3 linked regions of the Xenopus tropicalis genome follow. The protein of the gene in region 2 interacts with the protein of the main gene of each other region in a pairwise test. Links are inferred from orthologs where the notes say so. Each region holds a gene or a part of one and is shown on either strand. Other genes may lie near its edges.

Evidence for each region. The genes of interacting proteins can lie anywhere in the genome.
Region 1: the proteins of hras (region 2) and retinal rod rhodopsin-sensitive cGMP 3',5'-cyclic phosphodiesterase subunit delta interact in a two-hybrid assay, tested with the Homo sapiens proteins (2 studies listed by BioGRID). The link is inferred for Xenopus tropicalis from reciprocal best matches to the Homo sapiens genes HRAS and PDE6D.
Region 3: the proteins of hras (region 2) and rgl2 interact in binary tests that used the Homo sapiens proteins (3 or more experiments, as listed by UniProt). The link is inferred for Xenopus tropicalis from reciprocal best matches to the Homo sapiens genes HRAS and RGL2.

The regions. Positions count from the first base shown.
Region 1 is NC_030681.2:101,155,239-101,158,464, forward strand, and holds part of retinal rod rhodopsin-sensitive cGMP 3',5'-cyclic phosphodiesterase subunit delta, read right to left. Parts: intron 2,515-3,226; coding exon 2,409-2,514; intron 1-2,408. UniProt on the Homo sapiens protein: Promotes the release of prenylated target proteins from cellular membranes. Modulates the activity of prenylated or palmitoylated Ras family members by regulating their subcellular location.
Region 2 is NC_030680.2:34,323,586-34,327,791, forward strand, and holds the start of hras (GTPase HRas), read right to left. Parts: upstream 2,922-4,206; 5' UTR 2,810-2,921; intron 1-2,809. UniProt on the Homo sapiens protein: Involved in the activation of Ras protein signal transduction. Ras proteins bind GDP/GTP and possess intrinsic GTPase activity.
Region 3 is NC_030684.2:72,120,055-72,123,709, forward strand, and holds part of rgl2 (ral guanine nucleotide dissociation stimulator-like 2), read right to left. Parts: intron 3,308-3,655; coding exon 3,089-3,307; intron 2,567-3,088; coding exon 2,463-2,566; intron 1,593-2,462; coding exon 1,508-1,592; intron 1,391-1,507; coding exon 1,325-1,390; intron 1,231-1,324; coding exon 1,153-1,230; intron 390-1,152; coding exon 357-389; intron 1-356. UniProt on the Homo sapiens protein: Probable guanine nucleotide exchange factor. Putative effector of Ras and/or Rap. Associates with the GTP-bound form of Rap 1A and H-Ras in vitro.

The DNA.
Region 1 (3,226 bases), on a different chromosome or scaffold from region 2:
ATCAATCAAGCAGACTCCAAACTCTCCAACATGGGAAAGACCAAAGAGCTGTCCAAGGATGTCAGAGACAAAATTGTAGACCTGCACAAGACTGGAATGGGCTACAAAACCATTAGCAAGAAGCTGGGAGAGAAGGTGACAACTGTTGGTGCGATTGTTCGAAAATGGAAGGAGCACAAAATGACCATCAATCGACCTCGCTCTGGGGCTCCACGCAAGATCTCACCTCGTGGGGTGTCAATGATTCTGAGAAAGGTGAAAAAGCATCCTAGAACTACACGGGAGGAGTTAGTTAATGACCTCAAATTAGCAGGGACCACAGTCACCAAGAAAACCATTGGAAACACATTACACCGCAATGGATTAAAATCCTGCAGGGCTCGCAAGGTCCCCCTGCTCAAGAAGGCACATGTGCAGGCCCATCTGAAGTTTGCCAATGAACACCTGAATGATTCTGTGAGTGACTGGGAGAAGGTGCTGTGGTCTGATGAGACCAAAATAGAGCTCTTTGGCATTAACTCAACTCGCTGTGTTTGGAGGAAGAAAAATGCTGCCTATGACCCCCAAAACAACGTCCCCACCGTCAAGCATGGGGGTGGAAACATTTTGCTTTGGGGGTGTTTTTCTGCTAAGGGCACAGGACAACTTATTCGCATTAACGGGAAAATGGACGGAGCCATGTATCGTGAAATCCTGAACGACAACCTCCTTCCCTCTGCCAGGAAACTGAAAATGGGTCGTGGATGGGTGTTCCAGCACGACAATGACCCAAAACATACAGCAAAGGCAACAAAGGAGTGGCTCAAGAAGAAGCACATTAAGGTCATGGAGTGGCCTAGTCAGTCTCCGGACCTTAATCCAATAGAAAACCTATGGAGGGAGCTCAAGCTCAGAGTTGCACAGAGACAGCCTCGAAACCTTTGGGATTTAGAGATGATCTGCAAAGAGGAGTGGACCAACATTCCTCCTAAAATGTGCGCAAACTTGGTCATCAATTACAAGAAACGTTTGACCTCTGTGCTTGCAAACAAGGGTTTTTCCACTAAGTATTAAGTCTTTTTTTGTTAGAGGGGGGTTCAAAAACTTATTTCACTCAATGAAATGCAAATCAGTTGCTATCTTTTATTTAAAGTTATTTTTTCGATTTTCCTTTTGATGTGCTATCTGCCACTGTTAAAATAAACCTACCATTGAAATGATACTGTTCTGAGACTTTTCATTTCTTTGTCATTGGACAAACTTACAAAATCAGTGAGGGGTCAAATAATTATTTCCTCCACTGTATAATCTCCTTTGTATAAAAAAAAAAAAACCACGAGGTATGCATTGCCCTTGCCCATAAATTCTGTATGTAAAAGACGAAATGTGCACTATTACATGACGCCATTCTGACGAACAGGAAATTGCACAGAAATGAGACGTATGTTAGTGTAAATAGCAGCGATAATCCATTTTCTTGCAAATTTTACAGCCATGAATAATTTCACTTTTTTTTTTTTTCAATGCATGGTTTGTGACAACAGGACAATGTAAATTGTAGGTTTTTTTGTATTTTACTTTTTTTTTTTTTAACAGAATTTGTGATTATGATTCTGCATTGAGGCCCTTTTAGAAAGAACTAAATGTATGTGTCAAAACAAAGAGACAAATGGGCCCTAATTATAAACTATGTACGAAAATGGTGAAGAGATAACATCACAAGTTGTAACAGAATGCCATGTAAAATAATGCAGAGCAATAGAGCTTAGTAATAAATTTGGGCATATGTGAAGTAGAGTGTAAAAATTGGGCATAAAAAAGAAAAAAAAAAGATTTTAAAGGTTTTTCTAAATAACAAAAAACCCCAGCACTAAACACCACCACTTTTTATACCAGTTAATTATTTACTTAATTGGCAAATAAGAGTTTATTGGATGCCAGGTCAGAGGAAGTGTAAAATAATGGCACAGTCATGGAAAATATACACCTTAAGGCTAATTGCCAGACGAGTCGTAGAGCGGTTATTTTCGGCAAGCAGAAAAGCGCTTGCTGAAAATTCCGCCCTACACCTCCTACTTGTGCCTGCACTGGAATGAATGAGATATGCTCGGGTGCAGGCACATGTAGCCAATATACGCATAAAAACGCGAGAGAATGCAAAGTCTCGCGTTTTTATGCGTGTATCGGCTACATGTACCTGCACCTGAGCGGATTCCATTCATTCGGGTGCAGGCACAAGTAGGAGGCGTAGGGCGGAATTTTCAGCAAACGCTTTTTCAAAAATATCCGCCTACGACTCATCTGGCATTAGGCCTTAGCCCTGTTTTGATCACTGGTTATTATTTAGCTCTTGGGAATAAATAAATAAAATGATTTTACACAGGTCAGATTTTGGTAAACCCAGATGTAAAATTTCTAAAGGAACTTACGTTAAAACATTTGCTGGCATCATCTGAGATTCAGGCGCAGCCTCTATTAGGGACTGCCAGGTGTTCATGGAATTGGGTATCACAAAACCAAACTCAAAGAACCACTCTGTAGAGTAAAGAAAGCTAAGTTTAAGTAGCTGTATCAAAGTAAGGATGCCCTGCAGTTTTTAAACCAATAACTATTATAATTGTACTTTTCAAAGCAGGATACAAAATTTTCTGAAATGTTCAGAGCTTTCTGCTTAATAAAACAAAAGGCCATGCCTTCTGAGATGCCATGTTTTGTGTGCTGCATAAAGCAGCAGAAGAACTCCTGTGTATCACTCTCTTACAGCCATAACTCTTAGCCAGGGGTCGCCAAACTTTTTAATCCATGAGTCACATTCAAATACAAAATCATGTAAAAGTTTCCTGGGGGCACCCAGGAAATTGGTAGCCTACAGGAGGCTCTATTTGGAAATGTTTTTTATGCAACTAAAGCTTGACTTTATGCCAGGAATTCAAAAATAAGGACCTGCTTTGAGGCCCCTGGGAGCAACATCTAAAAGGGTCGGTGAGCAATATGTTGCTCAAGAGGCACTGGTTGGGGACACACTGTTTTAAGCAGGTCCAGATGATTCACCATAAGTTAATGTATAATATTGTATTGTATAAAAATTTAAAAAAAAAAAGTTAGAATCCAGTCCCAACAACTACATTTTGACATTTCCTTTGATTTTTGCATTGGCAGTTGAGACCCTTGCTCAGCTTATAAGACATGACCTACATATTTCAGGAGCTGGGAGAAGAATGAGGATATATGACCTCACTGCCAAGGC
Region 2 (4,206 bases):
ATCAGCAGGTAGAATTTACGGGTCACCTGTTTAAAAGCAAACATCTCATTGGTTGCTATGAGTTACTGCTCCTGGGCAAACTTAGTGCCTTTTATTACATATGAGGGTTTAAGTGGTACTTAAGCTTGAAGTCAATCTAGAAAATCATTATGTACACATACATATAAAGCGCCAACATATGCAATAGTGTTGTACAACAGAAGGATATACATGTTAAGCATACAAAAACTGAATGATGCATTAGGTATAAAGAGGGTCCTGCTCAACAGTGAAGTATTCTGATATGGAAACCAACAGCCATTGGCTAAAATAAGAAATGAACTGGTACAGTTATGGTATCCGGGTGGGTTTTCTACTCTGCGCCGGGCCCTTCCAAAGATTGTGGGATTGGGGATGGGGGGGGGGGCGATTGTGAATCAGTGCAGTTGCCATTTGTTTGTGTAGCCACATGGTACAATATCCAACCAATCAGCAAAGAGTATAATAAAAAATAATCAGCCCATGAGCGGGCAGTAGAGGGATAGTTCACCTTTAAATTAACTTTGAATATTACCCTGTAAATTATACTAAGAAAGAAAATTTGCAGTTGGTCCTCATTTTTTATGTTTTTTTTATAATTTCACTTTACATTCAGCAGATCTCACCCCACCATCACCTTGTTCCACTTAAATCACTGAAGTGATGGATTTCTGGGACTTGACGTCCCTCTGCTTTCAAGAGAATCTGTGAACCACCCACTATCTGTGAAACTCCCACTATGATAAGCAGAGGGATTTTAAGGGAAGTGTTTCATTACACTGTGAGCCTAAAGGGAGTGGTGTAGGAAACAGTTCATACAAGTAATATGGCACACAAGTAATATCCAAATCCTGCTGAAAAAAAAAAAAAAAAAAACTAGGGGGCAGATGTATCATAATGTGAATTTAGCTTAATACATAAAGTCTAACCAGAAAGTGCTTTTTTTGAATAATGAAAGAGAATATGCAGTAACACATCTTTCCAATACACATTAAACATGTTCAATTGTTTGTAAATTTAAAAAGCAGCATCTGACTGGCTGTTTACATTCACTGCAATTCTGGTTCTGACTCCTGAAACAATGTAGCAGAAGTTAGTCTGGAAATTACTGGCTAAATAGCAGATACATTCACATATAACTTAAAAACCACAGACAATCTTCCTACCTGTAGCCACAATATTTCTGATTTTTTTACCATATGACTGGTGACTCTCAGGTGTGGAAGTTTCTCTGGGGCTGGGCCTGCTTGCTGCCTCTTACTCTTTTCTCTGAATCCCCATGCAGCTGCTGGCCTTGGGTCCCGCCCAGTGCACTAATATTGGTAATATTGGAAATATCCCAGTTTGCTTTTCTATTGCTCTACGCTGTGGCTCTGCAATGTACCGGGAGGCACAGCAATGAATCAGCAGCCAACAGGTAGGTACATGACATCACACAGCAAGAGATGCGGCAGCAGAAACCTTAGAGAACTGCTCTGTTATTGACATAAGACCCTCCCCCATAGCAATATGAACAAAACACTGGAAAGCCTAGAGAGACCTCAAAAAGCAAATTCTCCTTAATTGCATTATCGTCATCCCATCAATATTTCAGCCTGTGACATATCGTTCCAGCATAGGCTCCTTGGTAGCATCAATAGAGCTCAGAGGAGGTTTGTTACAGGCAAGTAGCCAGGGTCAGCCAAGGACAATGAGAGAGCAACATCCCATACCCAACAGGGCTGTGCTGTGTTGCAGGGGTCTGGGGGGGTCCCTTCAGTAATTGGTGAAGCTGAATGTTATTGTGATTCTTATATGTTATTGCTTATTTTTCTTTTCAGGTCCTCTCCTAATCCATGTTGGCTTCAAAACTGGTTGCTAGGGTGATTAATGCCTAGAAACCAGATAGCAGTCAAGAGCTGCAGAAAATAATGTAAATGATTCAAAAACCACAAAAAAAAAAAATAAAAATGAAGATCAATGGCAAATTGTCTTAGAATTCTGCTTTCGACATCATTCTAATATGTAATTGATTCCCATGTTCTCCCTGAGATGAGTGCATTGGTCAAAATTCCTCTTTTACCACAGTCCTGACAGTGATTATCTTGGTGCAAGAGCTCACAATCAGATTTCCTTTTATTAATAGAACAAGGAATGTACCAGTCATAATAGCCTTCCCATCATTTCAATTCCTGCCCATATAACGGCAGACTGGGCAAAGTATGGCAATAGGCACCAGCCTAAATTCCAATGTTAATGTCCTATCCTGGGCTGGCACTACTAAACATCCACTGTATTAGGGCATGACAGAGATGGCACGGAATTAGCCCTGGGACCCCAGATTTAAAAAATCCCCTTGGAGGAAAAATGTTGCTTTAGCACATACCTCAGAGATGTTCAACCTAAACCTATTGGGAGGGTGCTGGCACCCAGCTGTAGTTCAACAACAGGGTCACAGCTTGGTAAGCCCAGAATCACATCAATCAATAACATCATCAACTCATTACTCCGCAGGGGGCGGCAGAACCATACTAACAAGTGGGTTGATTTACAAGACTGCAGCTGGGAAGGGAAAAGGGCTAGCACCACAGTTATTTGCCCCAATTAAAGTTCCCATAAATAGTGTTGGCAACTTTCCTTCTCTAATACAGCAAACAGCATAGCAAAACTGAAACAAAAACCCAGCTTCAACTATTACAATATCCCACCCCCGTTTGTATATATAAGAATAAATAGGAAAATCATTTCTGCAGCCCCTGCAACAGGAAACCAAAGACCCAATCAGGAACGCCCAGCGATCGCAGCTACTTACCGCAGGACTGTAGCAGGTGATCCCCCCCACATTAAAGTCAGCTGCTCTCCCTCGCATAGAACATAATACCTAGATCAAGCATTAGGGCAAAAGGCGCAATTTTTGCGAAGAGCAACAGATCTTTCAGCAGGCAATGTGTGGCGCTGCCCGGTGCCGCTATGTGAGCTGAGCACATACAAGCAGAGCAGCAGGGAGCAGATGAATGGGCGGCTTGGGCGTTGCTCTCTATGCAGCTGCTGCATTCACCGCTCAGGAACAATGTGGGCAGCCCACGCCCAGAGAGCTACTAAAAACCACGCCCCCAATGCAGTCAATCAAGAGTGCCTTCAAGTTGTGATTGGCCGAGGAGGAAGGACTTAGGCGGGAAGGGCATCCCTTGGGTTTGTTATTAGTTGGAGTCGGGGAAGGGGACCCATAGGGAAACGGATTCATTCATTTAGTACATTTACAAGTTTTGCGTTTTTATGTGGTGTTTGCGCTAGCGTTGCGTTACAAAGGTTTGTTTATGACTGCTGGACTCCTAAGAATAATGCGCTTATAGAATTGTTAATGTCTACCCATGTGCTGCTCTGTATCTCACAGGGGTAACTTGCCCACTTGGGCGCATTTTACTACCCGGTGCCGATGTATGCCTTTACAGCGTCTGGCGCGCAGTTTTGCAATTATGCTCTGAATTGTGGGAAGGAATTTTGCATTTTTTTTTTTTTTTAAAGTGTGCTGATTTTTGCATTCTGCAATCGGCGTTAATAAATGAGCTCCAGAGTGTTGGCTTTTGCCTGTGTAATATCATGTAAAGTAGTGTAACTTTACTGCTGGCCTGCAATAGCTTGTTTGGGCCATTCCATTAGCTCAGTGCTGTCCAACTGGCGGCCCACGACCCCCATCTGTGTGGCCCCCCACCTGTCTGGCTGCTTTGATGGCTTACCTTTGTGTAAGATTTAAATGGTATCAGTACTGTGATTAACTGGCCCCCCTGCATGGTTCTCACCTCAGATTCAGGCTGTAATCCCCCTGTATTGTTTAAACATGTAATCCCCTGTGTTGTTCACACCTTTTAATCTCTGCATTGTTCAACCCCTGCAGTGTTCACACCTCAGGCTCAGACTGTAGTCACTCCCATTGTTCACTTCTTCACACCTCAGACATGGTACTGTAGGCAGAGTATGGCACATACAGCCAGCATAGGGCAAGGAGGGTATGGCACACACAGGCAGCATAGGGCAGGGAGGGTATGGCACACACAGGAAGGGTAGGGCAGGCAGAGTATGGCACACACAGGCAGCATAGGGAAGGCAGAGTATGGCACATACAGCCAGCATAGGTCAGGGAGGGTATGGCACACACAGGAAGGGTAGGGCAGGCAGAGTATGGCACACACAGGCAGCATAGGGAAGGCA
Region 3 (3,655 bases), on a different chromosome or scaffold from region 2:
CTATTTAGCAGTATAGGAATGTTTTAAATTACAGAAAAGCTATATTATAAAGGGAGTCGTCTTCTTTGCGAAGGTGCCAACCCCATTCTGCGCCCCCTACCCACCCCCCACCCCCAGCATTGCTTCATATGGGAGCAAAATTTAAATATTGCGCTGCGGGAGGGTGGCATGCCGCCCCTAAGATTGTGCCGCCCTAGGCCTGGGCATTTGTCTCGCCACAAATCCGGGCCTGTGTGAAGGAAATTATAATAATATTATAGTAGTAAAGAGAGAGCAAGCGAGAGAGTATACAGTTGATAAAGTCACAGAATGTAAAGTTAATAGAGGCATAATACTGTAGGAATCTAGGAATTCACCTTTCTTCTTTTTTCAAAGTTCAGGTAACCATTCTAAAAGGAAAACAGTATTGTGCATCAGAATATGTTTATTGGCAAATAATGTCATGTTTAAAGCCAGAGGCAAGAAAACACCTTACTCCTTATTAAGACAAGTGGAGAGATCAAAACTATGCCCTTGCACTATATGCATGAAAAGAAAAACGAGAGGGGTTATGTCAGCCCACAGTCAGTGGCCAAAGTATCTGTAAGTAAAAAGCTTAGCCTCAGACCTATAAGCCCAGCATACAACAGAATATCATCTCTAATAATTGCATCAGTGAACTTATGTTTATAATGTGATTACACAACACTAAAAGCAGCAATAATTGTTTGTGCCCTTTCTTTTTAGTATTCCATAAGCATTACTGAATCAGTAAGCCTGCATGGGATATTGCTGCCTGGTAAATCATTTTGAAAGCCACAGATTATAAATTATATAAACAAATACAATGATGCATGGCAAGCTATTGCTAGTTCTGAATTGAGTACATTGTATAGATAACTGAGCAATCAGTGTTTTATATCAATACAGCACCACAAAAAGAATTACCTGATGATTTTATATTTATTTGTACGGAAGTAAAAAATATTTTTATTGAAATTATTATGATTACATACCCAAACTGATGTTCAGAGAGCAACCATGCTATTACTATGTAAATAAAATGGGTGGCATTCCCCTTCAATAAGACCTTTACCAGTGTTACTTTTTTTTTACTTTAGCAAAAGCTGCTAGCTAATCTAGAACTGGTCACAGAAAAGCACTGATTCTTACCTCTAGCTGGTCCCTTATGGCTGAATCCAACATGACCAGGTCAGTGAGGAACACTCCAAGGTATGGAACTACCCCCTGCTGTAGGAAAGGAAATGTTTGAAGTTGAACTGATGCTGGACAATAAGATAATGAGATATAAAAGGAAAGAGAGAAAGAGGGGAAAAAAATGTACCACTGCTCTGGATTCCCTAGTGCGAGGCTGTTGTCTCTTGGAGGTTATTTCAGGTTGGTCATGAGGCTACAATATGGATTAAAAACACAAAATAGACTATAGATATATGTCATATTATTATAGGTTTGGCTACAATGACTATGAATATTATAGTCCAAATCAAAGAGAATAATTGATTCTCACCTGAAAAAGCAGCTCTCTCATTCGGGCATAATTATCTTTTTCACAGAAAACCTCCCTCATTTCCTGGTAACTGCGTAGAATTTCCCTATGCAACATTATGAACATGATTCTGTGAGTATCATCCTACCATTTCTTAGCCTGTTTTAGCACAATTAATATACATGACACTGCTTTTCTTACCCACCTTTAAGTATTACACTGGCTGATGTAGCTTTATAATGACAATTTAGGAATGTTTTTTCAGTGGTGTGTATTCAGCCCAGGATTTACTCACTTAGACCTACACCACATTGCCATTTTGACCTCTGCTGCCTATTGGCAAAGAACAGTGGTGCCTCTCTTTGCCAGTAACCAATGCTCACTAGTAGCAGATGGGCCTCTACACCACTATTAGCTAAGAAAAACCCAGCTGATACTTCTAGACATAACATTGGTTGACATCAAATGCACTTTTTTGCGGAGCTGGAACTGTATCTTTATAATTGCTTTCTTCCCTGTCCCTATCCTTCTTTTACATCTGTACCCTTTTTTTTAAGATACCTGAAAACTTAATAAAACAGAGATTTACAACAAAAGAAAAACACTGGTAAACATCACCTTATTTTTGTTTACTTCACTACATTTTCATACTTAGAGTAACTAATTTCATATATTGAAAAATTGTACAGGAAGTGATGCAAACTACATGTTAGTGGTTTCATTAAGCAAAAATATAATATAAATATATTAACAGTCCTTAATGCCTTGTGGCAAGAACCAATGTGCCAGTTCAGCCTGCTCTGATGAATTGCGAGCAAACTGCAAAGTAGAGGGCAATGGAGTGAAATGGAACCCAGAATTTAAGAACAGCCTTGATAGAGTTTTACAATCATGTCTTCCTTTAGCTGGTTGTGCCTACACACAAAATAAACTCTTCCTGTAAATAACGTGCTAATGGAGGCAGATATCTGTTTACCTGGATGTTTCTGCCCATACTTTCTTCAGTCTGTGTACAGCAGTGCTTTGCAATGCAGTGATAATGGCATATACAGAAGAGAAATTCCTGAGGGACCGGCACTCCTACAAAAACACACAGAAGCCATTGAGAAAAATGTCATAGGAGAAAAGGAGATGGGTTATATTACCAGAAGACTTTATAGAAAAATAAATATTTAGGCAATAGATAGCAAGTGTGTAGGCAAGACATAAATTCAAACTGGGTAAAATATTAAAATATAGTTTTAAAAAATGTTTTTTTGTTAAAGGCTCTTGAAATACACTATAATTACCATAAAATACCTCATTCCTGCATTCTGAATTGCTGAAACAAAAGGACAACCTAATACTAATGTCATACTTTGCTAATCCCATACGGTTTCTAAAATGGACATACAGTGCTAAAAATGTATTTGCCTCGATTTGCATTTTCAAGTTCTGTAAAAATAACACCTAAAATAGACAAAACTCAGAAGATAGCTAACAATTTTTCATGTACATGTATTTCACCTCCCAAACCTTATCAATTATTGCACAATATAAAGATAATAGCTGGTTTAAGAGAGCCAAAAAGTAAGACCAATCTGCAAGCCATTTCTTTCTCACCTCTGCCACTCTCACCCACTTTTCTATGATTCGAGCTCTTTGTTGCGGTTTTAGTTGGGGGTCTCGAACACACGCAGAAGTCACTGCCCCAGAAAGACGATTAAAGTGCTGAACAGTCTCTCTGACTGACTGGCATCGGTTCCAGGGACTTCCAACCTTGTCCCTTCGAGACCACACTGAGCCCAGACATTCATATGGGACCACACGTAAGAAGAGAGACTGCCAGGAGGAGAAGAGGAAATACAAATAGTGAAGCACGCAACAAGGTGCAATAGAGAGTGGACAATTGTGGGTCAAGAGGCACACATTACAAAAAAATACATATAATGTGCCTGGGTGCTTAAAATTATTCATAATGGACAGCATTTTATCCCAATGTATTTAAATGAATTTTATTGCTGCTTCTTTGTCCATTATAAAGTATACACCCACAGACACCTAGGTAATACTGTATGTGTGTATATTCAGAGATATTATTTATGGACACACACACCCAAACACACCTAGGTATTACAGTTAAAGGGAAGCAAATGCTGGGGTGTAGCAGAGAAGTAAAGCAACAAAGCA